2 linked regions of the Ovis aries genome follow. The main gene of each other region encodes a partner of the protein of the gene in region 2 in a complex. Links are inferred from orthologs where the notes say so. Each region holds a gene or a part of one and is shown on either strand. Other genes may lie near its edges.

Region 1 (2,742 bases), on a different chromosome or scaffold from region 2:
GCATAAAGACATTCCTATTCACAATGGTTGGATGAATTAAGATCTATCACTGAACTCTATCAATTTTAGAGGTGGAAGAGTACTTAGGAATGATGAGAAAAACGGAACTAAACAGGTTGACTTTCTCAGAGTTATAGAGGGGTGAATACTCATTTTCTGGCTTCCAATTCAACATCTTCCTCCTCCCATATAGCTGCTATTATTTTTCAAGCAACTCTTCCATTTTGAGTGAAATTTCATTTCAAGGGACAAAAAATTACTTAACTGACAACATGGGTATTTCTTACTTAATGCTAACAGTTGCACAAGTCTTTCTCAAGCTTTCTTCCCCTACCCTAGCACCCTGCTATGACTCACAGCACAGCACGACTGCTACAGCAGTCGCCTAAGTTTCTCTTCCAAGTGGTCTTGTATCCCTGGGGTACTCTTCCCTCTCGTTTCCCTCGTTTTTTTTTTTTTTTTTAAACCACTCCTTTCTTCCCACAACATACAAAATAACAGCTCTTTGAAATCATTTTAATAACCTGGCAGTGATTCAAAGTACGAAAATATTCAGATATCTCCCTTGGACGGGGATGCTACCATGACTGCTTCACAACAAGCATGATCGAAGGCAAAGATGAGACCGGACTCGAGGGGCAAGGGTCGGAGCAAGCTTCCAGGCTCACAGACTGAAGAGCCTGGCTGCAGAAAGTCTCTTGGGTGCTGGCAGGCAGCAGAAGACACATGAAATGTTAAGACATCCTCAGAGGACGGGGCGCGGCTGCTGGGTCATGAGCACCTTGAAGCGTTTCTTGATGGTGATTCGGTGTCGAGAGTATTTGTCGTCTGGGGAGAATCGAGCAGGGTGGGCCGAGCACGTCTGTTGTCCCATAGGATCAAGCTTCTGCTCGAGGAGGAAAGAACATAATCTCAGCACTGGAATGGTGGGAAAACGCAATCCCTGGCCTCAAAAGGGAGATGGAGGCTGGGATGGGGAGTTCAGTTCAGTCGCTCAGTCGTGTCCGACTTTTTGCGACCCCATGAACCGCAGTACGCCAGGCCTCCCTGTCCATCACCAACTGCCGGAGTTTACCCAAACCCATGTCCATGGAGTCGGTGATGAACCATCTCATCCTGTCTTCCCCTTCTCCTCCCGCCCTCAATCTTTCCCAGCATCAGGCTCTTTTCAAATGAGTCAGCTCTTCGCATCAGGTGGCCAACGCATTGGAGTTTGAGCTTCAACATCAGGGGCCGCGCAAAAACGGCAAACATGAAAACAGGAGACGCGACGGTAAGATCTAGAAGCCACGCATTTCTGCTTCCATTAATTAATACCACGCGCGGCTTCTGGAGTTTCTAGTCCCGCCCCCTCCCCCGCCCCCGCCCAAGCAGCTAGGCAACTCACTGTCTTCTCCCGACCGCTCCTTCCAATGACATGCATCGCTAAGCTGACATCCAGCCCGTTTACCCTTCTCACCTTCAGCGTGTAGACTCGCTCTCCTTGCTCGTTGAGGTAATACTGGAGAAACATGATCACACTAAAGCAGGACGTTCCAATTCTGTCCGCAGCTGCCTCTAACTGAAGGCCTCACGTGTTGGTCAATTTCCTTCCTGTACAGCCGGAAGTCTCGCTCTGAAAGCACGCCGGGAATTGTAGTCCAGTTTATCTAGACTTTTCTCCAGCCGGACAGAAGGAGGCGCACTAGCTCAGAACGTGACCAGTTGCAACCCAGTTGCAATCTTGTAGGAGTTGTACGACACGTGCAGTGTGCCCACTGTGGGCCTGGTACTGCTAGGGAGAGAGGGGAGTAGGGATGGATATAGATTAAACATAACTGAATACTATCCTGTTTTTATTTCAAGATGCACACCCATTTCAGAGGCAATGAGTTTCTAGTACCTGCAGAACTAAAGGCTCCAGGATCCAGAGCCTCCTTTACCTTAGGAAAGAAAGAAGATTTTCTTCCTTCCCCTATTTTACATCCGGTTCTCTCGCCCTGTTTCAAACATTGGCGGTAAAAATGCACGATGGGTATTCCATATTCTGCACAGCGAAAAGAGCGTGAAGTTATTTTACGAAACCGGTGAAGCATATTTTAGTGGTCGACCCAAGATTCAAACTCAGGTCTCTGCCACAAATTCAACTCTCTGTAGTGGTGAGTAGCTAATAATAGCGTGATAAGATGCGCCTCTTAGAGGTATGGCGAATTTTTAAAAGAACGTACAAATTCTCTTTATAGGATTCTGGTTTAAAGAAATGAAAATTGGAACCCAGATATCATTAACCGAGGTGACCATTGCGGTATGATTTATAATGGCGAAAAACGTTGGAAGATATATGCAGCTTTATAACCAGAAAAACCTTAAAGTTGGTTTTTTTTTTTTTAAGTATAGTTTGTGTTTGCTTGTAGTTGTATAAAATATCTCAGTGAGGATCCAGAATAAATCTGATTTCCTCCGGCATAAAGAGCTCAACTTGGTTCCAGAAGGAGTAGGACGGGGGGTGGACTTGCTGTGTACTCCATTTTAAATAGTCTGACTTTTGAACAGTCCTGATGTACTACCCATTTTAAAAATTAAAATTATTTAACAAAATTTAAAACCACAAAAATAATTTAACAAACAAACAAAAAAGACTTTTGGGTCTTGGAATTTTACTCTGAGTGGCAGTTTTTGATTAAGTGGGAAGCTTTTCAGCCCAGGGTATGGCTGAGCTGTTTGTGGACTGCAGAGGTGATGGTAATAGTCTATTTGGGAACT
Region 2 (4,025 bases):
CTCACGCGGTGAACTTCCAGGAGAGCCACCCACGGTCCCAAGGGTTACCAGCGGGGCAGACCGGAGCAAGCGGGATGGACACGAAACTCCGGTGACGGAGGGAGAGTGGAGGCCTCTTTAAATGCTATGGCCACGAAGAAAAGTAATTTCTGACCAAGTTTTGTAAAGTTATGAAATATTAACCATCTGTTCAGCCATTCAGTGTTTGGGGAACTCAGGTGCATCATCTGTGCAAGCCTCCCAAGACCCAGAAGCTTCCTCTTTCTACTCGAACATCCTGCAAGCGTCTGGGTTCGGGTGAGACGCCGTTAGGGTCACCGCTCTGAGCCGTGCCCCTGGACCTGGGTCCCTGTGGCTGGGCCAGAAGGTGAGGCCCCTGCTCCTCCTGGGGTTGTGAGCCTCTGGGCAGGCCCTCTGACCCGTCTTCGTGGCGCTTGTAGAGGGCAGGGCGGCTCTGGGTGTAAAGAGAGCCACGAATGTGTGCCAGGAGCTTGCAGGTGGTGACCCAGGGAACCCGCGGCTCCATTTCTCCCCTTCCTTTGCCCTACCCATGGGATTGGTGATTAACAGAGAACTGGTCTGGGGATTTCTGTTTATGGTGAGGACCATGGAAGATCCCGCAAAGAGAAAGTACAGCCTGGAGCCAAGGAACCCAAGCCCGCAAGGCAAGTGCTGCTGCTGCCGGCTGCCCGCTGCAGGCTGACCACTGCCCGCTGCCCGCTGCCCACCGCCCGCCGCCAGCCGCCCGCGCCGGGGAAGGCTCCAGGAACTCCCCTGCGGAATGGTCGAGGATGCATCTGTGCCCCCTCGGTGTCCCCAGGCCCGCCAGGCAGGGGCGGTGGTCCATTCTCTCCTTCGCACAAAGTTACGCATTCGCTGCCATGAGCCCCTTCTGGACCCCAGAGCATCCCTCGCTGCACGGTCACGGCCCGCGTGTTAAAGCAACCAACCCGAAGAACCTGCTCCCCGGGGACGCCGAACACACCAGGCCCCCCCCCCCCCCCCCCGCCCAGGGACCCTGCCTTCTGGTCCCCTCCCTCGGTACCACAGAGCCTTTCCGCTGTGCGACCCCTCGCGCGACCCCTGCGCCCTGGGCGGGCCGGCGGCGCGGGGCTGCGGAGGCCGCCGGGAGCAGCCGCGCGGAGGGGGCCAGGGCCTCGTCGTACCTGGGCCTCCGCGACCCCGCCCCTTCCTCCGCCCGGCCCCGCCCCTTCCTCCGCGCGGACCCCTGCTCCTCCGCGCGATGCCGCGCGCGCCCAGGTGCCGGGCGGTGCGCGCCCTCCTGCGGGCCAGCTACCGGCAGGTGCTGCCCCTGGCCGCCTTCGTACGGCGCCTGCGGCCCCAGGGCCGCCGGCTTGTGCGGCGCGGGGACCCGGCGGCCTTCCGCGCGCTCGTGGCGCAGTGCTTGGTGTGCGTGCCCTGGGACGCGCAGCCGCCCCCTGCCGCCCCGTCCTTCCGCCAGGTGGGCCGACCCCGGGGAGCCTGGGCGGGCCCGGCGGGGTGATGGCGGAGGCGGTGGGAGGGGACGGCCCCGTGGCCCCCGCGACGCACGGACTGTCCCCGCAGGTGTCCTGCCTGAAGGAGCTGGTGGCCAGAGTCGTGCAGAGGCTCTGCGAGCGCGGCGCGAGGAACGTGCTGGCCTTCGGCTTCACGCTGCTGGCCGGGGCCCGCGGCGGGCCGCCCGTGGCCTTCACGACCAGCGTGCGCAGCTACCTGCCCAACACGGTCACCGACACGCTGCGCGGCAGCGGCGCCTGGGGGCTGCTGCTGCGCCGCGTGGGCGACGACGTGCTCACCCACCTGCTCTCGCGCTGCGCGCTCTACCTGCTGGTGCCCCCTACCTGCGCCTACCAGGTGTGTGGGCCGCCGCTCTACGACCTCCGCGCCGCCGCCGCTCCTCGGCCCACGCGGCAAGTGGGCGGGACCCGGGCGGGCTTCGGACTCCCGCGCCCGGCCTCGTCGAACGGCGGCCACGGGGAGGCCGGGGCACCCCTGGAGGCGCGGGCCCAGGGCGCGAGGCGGCGTCGGGGCAGCGCGCGAGGACGACTGCCTCCAGCCAAGAGGCCCAGGCGCGGCCTGGAGCCCGGGCGGGATCTCGAAGGGCAGCTGGCCCGCGGCCCGCCCCGCGTGGTGACACCTACCCGAGACGCTGTGGAAGCCGAGTCTCGGGAGGGCAACGTGCCCGGGCCCTGCCGCCCCTTTCTGGGCGGCGACCGGGGTGTCAGCTCCGCGTCCTGGCGGCTGTCACCCCCAGAGGGCGAGCGGGGTGCCGGAGCGTGCGCTGAGACCAAGCGGTTCCTCTACTGCTCCGGAGGCGGCGAACAGCTGCGCCGCTCCTTCCTGCTCTGCTCCCTGCCTCCGAGCCTGGCCGGGGCGCGGACACTCGTGGAAACCATCTTTCTGGACTCGAAGCCCGGGCAGCCAGGGGCTCCCCGCCGGCCGCGCCGCCTGCCCGCGCGCTACTGGCAGATGCGGCCCCTGTTCCGGAAGCTGCTTGGGAACCACGCGCGGTGCCCCTATGGCGCGCTGCTCAGGGCGCACTGCCCGCTGCCGGCCTCTGCGCCCCCGGCGGGGCCAGGCCATCAGAAGCGCCCTGACGCGGGCGGCTGCCCCTCGGAGAGGCCGGCGGCTGCTCCCGAGGGCGAGGCGAGCTCGGGGCGCCTGGTCCAGCTGCTCCGCCAGCACAGCAGCCCCTGGCAGGTGTACGGCCTCCTGCGGGCCTGTCTTCGCCGCCTGGTGCCCGCCGGCCTCTGGGGCTCCCGGCACAACGAGCGGCGCTTCCTGCGGAACGTGAAGAAGCTCCTCTCCCTGGGGAAGCACGGCAGGCTCTCGCAGCAGGAGCTCACGTGGAAGATGAAGGTGCAGGACTGCGCGTGGCTGCGCGCGAGCCCAGGTGAGGCTTCTGGAGGGGGTGCTTCTCAATAGCTCCCCATCTCCGCTCTCGGCCTCTGACCCTCTCTCCCACCCAACTTGCATGGATACCGGACTTCATGGAGGTTCTGGGCCTGGGAAGGGGCAGTGGAGAGGGGGACTCGTGGAGGGCAGGGCCGCACCTGCAGGTGGGGCACCTGGAGCCCCGGTGGGCGTGGCTTCGGTGGTTCATCTTCTGTTTCTGACCTCAAGGTTAACTGCCTTGAACGATGCCCCCTGATAGGAGTGGGAGCTGGGCTGAGAACCCTCCTGGGTGGGGCTGGGAGGTAAGGCTCGGGGTTCCCCAGCCGGCTCTGGTCAGCCGTCTGCAGACCCAGTGAGTTCTCCTGTGTGTCCACCAGGCCAGGGCCACTGGCGGCCGGCGCGGGAGGACTGTGTCCTTGACCGAGGCCCCGGGCTGGGCGGGCACAGAGGGGAGAGCCGGCTGCCGGCCGGGTCCCAGGACAGCGGGCAGCTGCTGGGGAGCAATGGGACCTTCCGTGAAGCTGGGCCTTTGGGGCCCCTCCCTGTGTGGTGGTCTGGGTGTGATGTGGGGCTCCTCCCATGCAGCCACCGCCCAGCACGTGTGCGGGCAGAGCCAGGAGCAGCAGGACCAGCCCCTTCCGAGCGCTCCCCGGTCTGACCCCTGAAGTCCTGAGAGCTTGACACCCAGAGCTGGAGCCAGGCTTGGCCCCCTCGTTGACTCATGAGTCAGCTTTGCTCTTGAGTGTCTGCTGCTGCTGCTGCTAAGTCACTTCCGACGTGTCCGACTCTGTGCAGCCCCAGAGACGGCAGCCCACCAGGCTCCCGCGTCCCTGGGATTCTCCAGGCAGGAACGCTGGAGTGGGTTGCCACCACGAGTGTCTAGCGACTCTCTTTACCTTAAAGTCTGTCTCCCTGCCTCCCCACTCGCCAGTGTTTACTGCTCATGCTGTTTGCCCTTATCTGGGTTTTACCTTCAGCCTCTCCTGTCCCGTGAGCACGCGTAGTGTAGGTGCCGTATCGCGGCCCTGAGCCAACCTTCTGCGCGTCTGTCCGATCCCGTCTGACCGTCTGTGTGGCTCCCCTGGCCTTACACTTCTCTGTGCTGACCCGGTCTGGGCGCGTCTTTCTCA

Evidence for each region. The genes of interacting proteins can lie anywhere in the genome.
Region 1: TERT (region 2) and NOP10 share a complex: the UniProt entries of both Homo sapiens proteins name them as parts of the telomerase holoenzyme complex. The link is inferred for Ovis aries from reciprocal best matches to the Homo sapiens genes TERT and NOP10.

What each region holds. Positions count from the first base shown.
Region 1 is NC_056060.1:26,486,683-26,489,424, reverse strand, and holds NOP10 (H/ACA ribonucleoprotein complex subunit 3), read right to left. Parts: upstream 1,564-2,742; 5' UTR 1,514-1,563; coding exon 1,460-1,513; intron 887-1,459; coding exon 746-886; 3' UTR 503-745; downstream 1-502. UniProt on the Homo sapiens protein: Required for ribosome biogenesis and telomere maintenance. Part of the H/ACA small nucleolar ribonucleoprotein (H/ACA snoRNP) complex, which catalyzes pseudouridylation of rRNA.
Region 2 is NC_056069.1:71,189,397-71,193,421, forward strand, and holds the start of TERT (telomerase reverse transcriptase), read left to right. Parts: upstream 1-1,218; 5' UTR 1,219-1,243; coding exon 1,244-1,462; intron 1,463-1,566; coding exon 1,567-2,893; intron 2,894-4,025. UniProt on the Homo sapiens protein: Telomerase is a ribonucleoprotein enzyme essential for the replication of chromosome termini in most eukaryotes. Active in progenitor and cancer cells. Inactive, or very low activity, in normal somatic cells.